3 linked regions of the Saccharomyces cerevisiae S288C genome follow. Changing the gene in region 1 together with any one later gene gives a genetic interaction. Each region holds a gene or a part of one and is shown on either strand. Other genes may lie near its edges.

Region 1 (3,658 bases):
TGGTCCTGGTTCAATTACTTATATTTCTGGCTGGCAGACTGTTTCAATATTAACACATGGCAAATAGCTGGTACAGGTCTACAACTAGGTCTGAATTGGTGGCAATGTTGGCTTACAGTTTGGATCGGCTACACTTTTGCAGGTATCTTCGTAGTATTGAACTCGAGATTTGGTTCCGCATATCACTTATCTTTCCCTATTACTGTTAGGGCCTCATTTGGTATATTCTTTTCTATGTGGCCGATTATAAATCGTGTCGTGATGGCTATAGTATGGTATGCCGTGCAAGCCTGGTTAGGTGCAACGCCCGTGGCACTGATGCTAAAATCTATTTTTGGCAAGAATCTGGAAGATAGAATCCCAAACCATTTTGGTTCTCCAAATAGCACTACTTTTGAATTCATGTGTTTCTTTATATTTTGGGTGGTCAGTATACCATTTGTCCTAGTGGCTCCTCATAAAATCAGGCATTTATTCACAGTAAAAGCAGCTTTGATCCCCTTCGCAGCCTTTGGATTTTTAATCTGGGCTTTGAAGAAATCGCACGGTAAAATTGAGTTGGGGACGCTGAATGATTATTCACCTCATGGTTCCGAATTTTCATGGATATTCGTTAGATCCCTAATGGCCTGTGTTGCTAACTTTGCCGCTTTGATTATCAACGCCCCTGACTTCGGTAGATTTGCCAAAAATCCTCAAGCGTCTTTGTGGCCACAATTGGTTGCCATCCCATTGTTCTTCGCCATAACATGTTTGATCGGTATCATTGTTACTGCGGCCGGTTATCACTTATATGGGGTTAACTATTGGTCACCACTGGATGTACTTGGTCAATTTTTGGAGACCACTTACACCAGAGGTACTAGGGCTGGTGTGTTCTTGATTTCTTTTGTATTTGCCTTAGCTCAACTGGGTACAAACATTTCTGCCAACTCTCTGGCATGTGGTGCTGATATGACGGCTTTGTTTCCAAGATATATTAATATTAGAAGAGGTTCTTTATTCTGTGTGGCAATGGCTCTATGTATCTGTCCATGGAACTTAATGGCCAGTTCAAGTAAGTTCACCAGCGCTTTGGGTGCTTATGCAATTTTCCTTTCCAGTATTGCTGGTGTCATTTGCGCGGATTATTTCGTAGTAAGAAGAGGATATGTGAAATTAACACATTTATTCCTGGCACAGAAGGGTTCCTTTTACATGTTTGGAAACAAATTTGGTGCCAATTGGAGGGCCTTTGTTGCGTATATTTGCGGTATCGCTCCAAATTTACCAGGTTTTATAGGTGATGTTGGAGCTCCAAAAATTACGGTTTCAGAGGGTGCAATGAGGTTATACTATTTAGGTTATCCGGTAGGTTTCTTTATTAGTGCGGTGATATACCTCATATTATGTTACTTTTTTCCTGTCCCTGGTACTCCCGTAACCAATTTTCTGACAGAGAAAGGATGGTTCCAAAGATGGGCTTATGTTGAGGACTTCGAGCAAGATTGGAAGAATGAGTTACGTAGGGATGACCTCTGCGATGACACAGTCAGTATCTATGATGGCACCGAGGAAAAGATAGTTTACTAAATAAAAATCCCAATTTATTCTCTTACCAGTAGTGATCAGGAGAATTGATAATTTCTTCAAAACACCTTAATATTCGTTCTGTGTATTTTTATGTACCTTTCTTAATCAAATTTATCAGCTTCATACATGCATTCCCGTCTGAATAATGTACTGATGATTAGCTAAACCGTCATCAACCTACCAAACTTGCGCTTGTTTGAGCCTATCAGAACTCCGGATAATTCCGACATCTTATCTTTGACTCGAATTAGCGATAAGATAAAAACACAGGAACCACAATGAAATTCAGCTGGAAGAAAAGTCTAAATTATAGACACATTTTCTGAGATCAAATGCTATAAAGGAATGGAAGTGCATTTTGCTATGATATGGGGAAATTATGAAGCCGATCAAACAATTAATTGTATCTAATCGGTCTCTTCTTTAGAAAAATGAAGTTTTTTAGTTTGGCAGATGAGGCAGAATTTAAGTCAATAATCATTTCAAAAAACAAAGCAGTAGATGTTATAGGATCTAAGTTAGGTGGTCAAGTGGTTTCTTTTTCAGATGAATGGTTTGCTTCTGCTGAAAATTTAATTCAGCCAACTGCTCCTATAAGGGATCCTACCAGATTTGTTCATTCAGGCGCATGGTACGACGGCTGGGAAACACGAAGACATAATGAGATGGAATACGATTGGGTTATCATCAAGATGGGAGTCGCTGCTGCCCATATTATTGGTGGTGAAATTGACACTGCGTTTTTCAATGGTAATCATGCACCATTTGTATCAATAGAGGCGCTCTATGACGAGGGCGAAGAAGGTAATATAGTGGAAGATGACTCGCGTTGGGTTGAGATTGTTGAGAAATTTGAGTGTGGTCCTTCGCAAAGGCATCTTTTCGTTAGAGGCAACGGCCTTACTAAAGAAAGGTTTACTCACATCAAGCTGAAGATGTACCCCGATGGAGGAATCGCCAGATTTAGATTATACGGAAGAGTTGTTCCTCCAGAACTCAAAACGAAGGATCATATAATTGACTTGGCTTATGTTTGCAATGGTGCTGTCGCTTTAAAGTATTCTGACCAACACTTCGGTTCAGTTGATAATTTGCTACTGCCAGGTCGAGGTCATGATATGTCGGACGGCTGGGAAACCAAAAGATCGAGACAACCAGGTCATACTGATTGGGCGGTAATTCAACTGGGCAGGGAGTCTTCTTTCATTGAGAAGATTATTGTTGATACGGCACACTTCAGGGGGAACTTCCCTCAGTTCATTACCGTGGAAGGTTGCTTGAAGGAGTCAGAATCAAGTGAGAACACTGGTGAAGGAACATGGGTAGAGCTAGTTGGTAAGTCAAAGACGGGGCCTGACAAAGAACATGTGTATGAAATACGTAAGAGTATAAGAGTCTCCCATGTCAAATTAACGATTATTCCAGATGGAGGAGTGAAAAGAATAAGAGTTTGGGGGTACTGATAAATACTTAACTACTGTATATTTTAAACCAATGCACTCTTGGCACTTTAAAAGTAAAGGTATAAATGTAGTTAAAAGTTTTTGTTTTGATAATTGAATGTTTTCATTTCGCTATCCCCACGCTACTTTATTTACTTCTTCTTCTTCACGACAAAACATTAAAATTTACACTCTATAAAAAACAATCATATTTCTATTTATTTTTGTGAGTTGACAAATCTTATCATAGTGATTAGAATCTGTAAACCGATCTCAATCGTGTCCAGAAACAGCGTGCCATCCCTTTGGAATGTTTTCGCCAGTTTATTTTGCAAACCCGAGAATCCTGCACAACCTAATATTACAATGTCTGAATCAAGCTTTTTAATATTTTCGCGATATATAATTTCTGCTATCTGCTGGAAATTTTCTGGACTATGTAGGTCGAGGACCTGTAAATCAGTAGATACCGTACCTTTCCATAAATTTTTGTTAACTGTATTCCCTGTCAAGAATTTCGATTCCACAGAGTTATTCAATATTGGAATCCATTCTTTATTTGAAGTAATAATAGAGAACTTCTTTCCAACCAAATTGCAATAATTAATACTACTATCTAATAACCCAACAATAGAAACATCTGC
Region 2 (2,924 bases), on another chromosome or scaffold:
AAAAATTTAGATACGTTTCTCAATCAGCTAAGGGATTTCCTCAACGAAAAGATTAAATTAGCGGACATTTTATTCAAAGATGAGTTCCCTGTAATATTACAGTTCATCGAGTCCTTTATCCAAGATATTTTATTAGATATTTTAAACAATATCTTATTAAGCTATAGTGAATTTTTAAAAGAAAATGGAAAGGATAGTAAAGCCAATTATGAATGCGTACCCGAACTTTATTTCACATTTATAAAAAAGTTTGATACTGAATTAAACGACTCAGTAAACGCAGGCGCAAATTTCCGTAAAGTTGTTCGTGACCTTTTAAACCTGTATCTCGAGCCCTTTGTTGTCAACTATATGAATCAGACAACTAGAGTATTTGAATCATTGATCAACTCACAATTAGCTAATTATGACACACAAGTTCAAGACAAGCAGCGTGAGCAAAACGCAAAAATTTATAACACTTTAAAAGATCAAACGGATGCTTCGAGTGCAAGTAACAATGAATTGCCGAATGACCTCTCAATAATTACTGAAACCTCCAAAACTGTCCCAGAAGCGGATTCAAAACCAAGTACGATCCATCAATCAGTTCATTCAACTGATATTTCTAATGATAAACTAGACTTTCTAAGTTCCTTCACCAAGATTTTCAAGTTCTCGAACAATGAAAATCAAAGGCTAAAGCAACAACTACAACTAGCCTACAACTTAAATTTAATTTCCAATAACTTGCAAAACATTAAATCGTTAATAAGTCTCGATTTATGTTACAAAATTTTACAGGAAACAAGCGAAAAGACGGATCAAATTTACAAATTTCATACGATTGAAAGTTTGCTACCATTGATCAAGCTACGCTGTCAAGAGATTTTCAAAATTTTAATTACACAATTGAATAAAAATCACGTTAAACCTGCATTTGAAAAGGCAATCCTGCTACTACAAAAATATAATCCTAACGAAATAGAACAAATAGAAATAAAATTCAATTCACTTTCGCCAGCCAATACTCAAGTCGAACCTTTAGTACAATTCACTGAACTTATCAATATAGGTGACATAATATTACAAATGATTTCCATTTTTTACAAGAACGAATTGATTCCCAAAAAAATTATCGATAAAAATAAAGATTTTCTTAATGATGTTATCCAATTAAAAAAAAATTTTGAGACTTCTATCGATGATTTTGTAGCCGAAGGTTTAAATATCGGTATAAACAAACTAATGGATGAAATCTCATTTGTATTCAAGACTCTTCAATTGCCTGACGATTATAATCCACCGCCACCCTCTAGGAATTCTCCAATAAGGGATATAAAGCCAACCAAATGTGCTATCAGGGTAGTCGAGTTACTTTCTAATCATTGCTTTCTACTGACTGGTGCCACAGACAAGGGTACTATTGACGTGTACCAACAAGAAATTGGCGAGAGATTCTTTAATGAAATCGTCAAACATCTGAAGAAGTGCTTCATATCTACGGAGGGCGCAATTTGGTTAATCTGCGATTTAAATTACTTTTACGATTTTATTGCTAACAAATTAAAACAAAAAAATGTTGTTCCCTATTTTGTTGGGCTTAAGTCTATTGGCCAGTTATACATCATTTCAGGCAAGGACTCGAAAGAGTTGGGAAAGCTTATTTCTGATCTTGGGAAATTCAATGGCATTTTTACGCAAGAGGAAATTTATGAATTTGTTCAGAGGAGAAGCGATTGGGTTCGTGTACGGAAAGACGTTGAAAAGGTAATGTACGGCCTAGGCATACGAGATTGCTGCATTATGTAAATTCCTATCAATGATTAATTATATTACTCTATATAGGTATGAAGTGCGGAAATAAAAGACTGTTCACATATTAGATTATTCAAGATTACGCGGGCTCTATTTTTCCCTGTTAGCCACACGCACACAAGGGGCATACAAATGTTCACTCCATTTATAAGAGGATTCCACACAAGATCATCGATAACATGGTTCAGTACGCTCCCTTTCTATTAGGAAAGTATGTTCATTCTTCATACGCTATTCTATTTTTTTTTTTTTCACACTTATTCTTTTACTAACGCATAGTTAACCATTTGCTGTTTCGAAGAGGCAACATCAAACAAGTCGATGTGCTCTTTCCCAAGCTGGTCTCTATTGCAGATTTTCTGATCCGTTATTGGCAATTATGGTAGGCTGTCTCAGCTACTATGTGTACGAAAGGAAAATGGGGCGTCCACAAGGTCATCATTTACACGAGCTCATAAAGAAGCGATGGGACGATCGCAAATAATAATCCGGCGTGAGGGGAGTATATATAAGTTTCTGGCGATATGTAAATACCATAATAATTAATCCTAGGATCTACCTTTATACGCATTTATCCTATAAAAACCCAATCTTTCAGATCCACAGTATTTTTATATGTGTGATTTCCTTGATTGTCTCAATTTAAAGAGTAATACATACAACTTAGACCAAAGAATTATTCAATAGATGACGCCGAAAGAATCTGGAAAGCCTATTTCGTGTGCAATGAAGAAGTTGAAAGGCAAGAGATCTAAGATTTTGGTTTTATCTAGAGATGCGGGCACCAACGAATTGAAGCCAACGAAAGGAAGAGCACATCGAGCTTGCATAGCTTGCAGAAAGAGGAAAGTACGATGTAGTGGTAATATACCATGTAGACTTTGCCAGACTAATAGTTACGAATGCAAATATGATCGCCCCCCACGGAACTCATCGGTATTTGATAGGGAAGTAAGCGATGATAGTTCCTTATATGCACAGAGAGCTTCCCACGAACGGGAAGATAGCAAGGGCCCTATAAGTTCCATTGATTACAAAAAGGTTGTAGAGACGATCTTTCCACCTGAAACACTCCGTCAAATACTTGCTTCTTCTTCTTTTAACAGCCAGAATTTTTTGGACACTAT
Region 3 (3,762 bases), on another chromosome or scaffold:
TAGAACAATGCTGCTTCGTATAGGCGCTATTTAATTAAGTAGTTATATAAAGAGAACGGTGCAATTGAATAGGAAAGGAATGACGGATTTTGCTTCTATGTTTGCTTTTATTTGAAGCGTGGGTTCTTATTTATGCTAAGTAGCTCAGTAAATCCATCTTAGTAACGATATGGATTGGTTTCAAGCCATCAGTGATAACGGCAGATGAGTTTTTTTCAAAGAAACGATTCAAGTCAGATAGCTTTGAGTTTTCATCGAATTTAATAAACTTCTTCTTACCGGATTTATTTTCGTTGTAAGAGGAAACATCATTGAAATTGTTTAATTTCTTGAAGTCCAAGTATTTACCCTTTATAGTGTTGTCGTTGTTTGAATTATTGATTGATAGTTTTCTTAGAAGCTCAGAGAGAGTAACTAAACCAGACAACTTGCCGTCTTCAGTCAACACAGGCAATTGGTCAAAGCCATTGTCTTTTAATATCTTGATAACATCAGTGACCTTAGCGGTTTCCTTAACGGAAACAACCGGTTTCAAGTGAAGATCCTTTACAGTAGCGTTACCAAACACATCAGCGTATTTTGTCGTCGAAGCCTCCAGCTTTGAAGAGTCAAAACGGGCCAACACGTCATCATCCCACAAATTGTTCTTTTTCAACCATTCGTCATCGACGAATTTGGTTAGGTACGACCTGATGGAATCTGGGAATATGGCAACAATGACATCATCTTCAGTCAGTTCAGGGTGGTCTTCACAGTATTTCACAACCGCAGTGAAGGCAGAACCGGAAGAACCACCCACCAAGACACCTTCGTTAGAAATCAATTGTCTGGCGTATTTGAAAGAAGGCTTGTCGTCTGTCTTATACCAAACATCAATTAATTTTCTGTCCAAAACCTGAGGAACAAAATCATAACCAATACCCTCAACTTTGTAGTCAGTGATATCAGTCTTATTCAAGTTTTCAGGTTGGGCTAAAATTGAACCGAATGGGTCAGCACCAACGATTTGGATCTTATCATTCTGTTCTTTCAAGTACTTGGAAATACCGCTAATAGTCCCACCAGTACCAGCACCAGCAACAACAGCGCGTAGATTATCAAATAAATTCAAGTCTTCTAGCTGTCTTTGGATTTCGCGACCAGTACCAAAGTAATGAGCTTCTGGGTTCATCATATTGTTATATTGGTCAAGTATAACAGCACCAGGAATCTCTTTTTCCAACTTCTTAGCAACACCAATATGTGATTCTGGAGAATCCCAGGCAGCAGCAGTTGGAGTTCTGATGATTTCAGCACCCAGAGCCTTTAGGACAGAAACTTTCTCGTTAGACATTTTTTCCGGCAAGGTGATGATAGTTCTGTAACCTTTGATGGCGCCGATTAAAGCTAGACCGATACCGGTGTTACCAGAAGTAGGTTCGATCAGAGTAGATCTGGAAGGATGAATTCTACCGGAAGCTTCAGCTTCTTCCACCATAGACTTGGCAATTCTGTCTTTGATGGAACCACCTGGATTGTATAGTTCCAGCTTAGCATAAATTTGTGGTTTGATACCCAAAGCCTTAGGCAATTTTTTCAGTGCGATCAATGGGGTGTTACCAACTAAGTCGATAACGTTATGTCTTGAATCGGCTTGCTGCTCAGATTTAGTCATTTTTATTCTTACGTCGTATTTATCTAGATGTCCTTTGAGCAAGTGGCCTACAACGAAATCTTCAAGTGTTGCCTTTTACTTTGGCATAGAAGCATCACGACATTTATATATACAAGCCTGGTGAAGTGCCTTGCGTTTACTTTAACCTTTAGGAGAAAAAAATTTTCGGTGTTGGTTTCTTTTTTTCCTTTCGGTGCAAAACTGTGGAGGAAGATGGCAATAAATTAGTGAAACGGTAATGCCGTGTGGACTGCATATGCCGGATATAGCATTTATCAGTCACGACAGAGCTGATTATCCTTACTTGGGTGAAGTTGAAGTTGTTGTGATAAGGTTAGAATGCAAATGAAGCTTTGTCAGCGCTGAGAAAGAAAATTTTGTTTTGTGAGCCACTACTATCACGTGCCATTACCATTTTAATCAGTTATGAAATAGGGGAATGTGTCATTGAGGGAAAATGTAATGGCCACCAAATGAATCAGAGGGTCGGATGAGAACACACCCTTACTAACTGCTGTTCATATCTCACAGTTGCCATTGATAAGCTCTGGTGGGAAAATACCCTTGATTTTTGGTAGCACATATTGACATAACAAAAGTCTTGACTTTGCCAATTGGAGAGATGGCCACTTATAGAGGAAAATACTCGTAAAAATAATCATAAACAGTAAGCCATGTCAGTATCTTACAAGGGAACAATTTCTAAGACACATTCTGTTTTTAAACCAGAAAAAGGAAGGTATTATATTTACGGGGCCCTTGGGTGTCCATTCACTCATAGAGCCATTCTTGCCAGGTCTTTGAAGAAATTAGAACCTGTTCTAGGGCTTGTGTTATCTCACTGGCAATTAGACTCCAAGGGTGCCCGTTTCTTACCTGCTCCACACCGGCCGGAAAAATATAAAGAGAGATTCTTTACTGCCACTGGTGGCATTGCTTCAGCTAAATTAGACGAATCTGAGGAGTTAGGTGATGTGAACAATGACTCTGCAAGGTTGTTCGTGGATGGCGCTTTCGACCCGGTGGAAAATATATCAAGGTTAAGCGAGTTGTACTACTTAAATGATCCTAAGTACCCCGGTACAAAGTTCACTGTGCCTGTTCTGTGGGATTCTAAAACAAGGAAAATTGTTAACAATGAGAGTGGCGATATCATAAGAATTTTGAACAGTGGCGTGTTTGATGAATTTATCCAAAGCGAAGAAACGAACGTGATTGATCTAGTTCCGCATGATTTAATAGACGAGATTGATAAGAACATCAAATGGGTTCATCCGAAGATTAATCTTGGTGTCTATAAAGTCGGATTAGCAGAAAACGGAAAGATTTACGAAACTGAAGTAAAAACACTGTTTGAAAACTTGCAGAAGATGGAATGTGTACTAAAAGAAAATTATAAGCGCTTAGAGGAGCAATTCAGTGGTAACAAACAGAAAATCTTGGCTAAATATTTTGTTTTAGGACAGAGGTTAACTGAAGCGGATATCAGATTGTATCCATCAATAATTAGATTTGACGTCGTGTACGTGCAGCACTTCAAATGCAATTTGAAAACTATAAGGGATGGTTTCCCGTACCTTCATTTGTGGTTGATTAATCTATACTGGAATTACGCAGAGTTTAGATTTACTACAGATTTTAATCATATTAAGCTCTTTTACATCAGGATGGAAGTAAGTAGGAACAAGATCAATCAGTTTGGTATAGTGCCATTAGGCCCAAAGCCTGACATTTCTAGATTATGAAAACTTCTAATATTTTCTTACACACACATATATTTATATGCATGGCTATACTTCAAAAGAGGTTGTCACTTCCATTTCCATGTAGGTAAAACTCGTGTATAGACGGAACACAGACTTCCCTAGTTTTATTGACTTCATAGTCTCTGCACCATTCAATTATGTCTCTGTAAAAGAGACTCTTCTTTATATCGCCCTTTTCTATATTCTCCATCTCCAGTTCTTTGAAGCATTTTGCTTTTCTCGATTTATGACAACCACACGGTTTTACACTCTCCTCTCCATGTTCTACCATTTCATGCCTCCAGTCAAAAAATGGTTGACTGTATTCCCTACTTGAATCCATACTTGATTCAACAAGGTAGT

What was found.
Region 2: mutations in DAL2 (region 1) and NCE101 together harm fitness more than expected from each alone (negative genetic interaction), as found in Saccharomyces cerevisiae (2 studies listed by BioGRID).
Region 3: mutations in DAL2 (region 1) and CYS4 together harm fitness less than expected from each alone (positive genetic interaction), as found in Saccharomyces cerevisiae (one large-scale study listed by BioGRID).

What each region holds. Positions count from the first base shown.
Region 1 is NC_001141.2:408,804-412,461, forward strand, and holds DAL2 (allantoicase), read left to right. Parts: upstream 1-2,003; coding exon 2,004-3,035; downstream 3,036-3,658. Other genes in the region: DAL4 (allantoin permease), read left to right, coding at 1-1,572; DCG1 (Dcg1p), read right to left, coding at 3,233-3,658. UniProt on the Saccharomyces cerevisiae protein: Utilization of purines as secondary nitrogen sources, when primary sources are limiting.
Region 2 is NC_001142.9:49,496-52,419, reverse strand, and holds NCE101 (Nce101p), read left to right. Parts: upstream 1-1,976; coding exon 1,977-2,008; intron 2,009-2,151; coding exon 2,152-2,281; downstream 2,282-2,924. Other genes in the region: RCY1 (Rcy1p), read left to right, coding at 1-1,791; YJL206C (uncharacterized protein), read left to right, coding at 2,485-2,924. UniProt on the Saccharomyces cerevisiae protein: Involved in a novel pathway of export of proteins that lack a cleavable signal sequence. May be part of the export machinery or may also be a substrate for non-classical export.
Region 3 is NC_001139.9:796,435-800,196, reverse strand, and holds CYS4 (cystathionine beta-synthase CYS4), read right to left. Parts: upstream 1,655-3,762; coding exon 131-1,654; downstream 1-130. Other genes in the region: GTO1 (omega-class glutathione transferase), read left to right, coding at 2,329-3,399; YGR153W (uncharacterized protein), read right to left, coding at 3,452-3,762.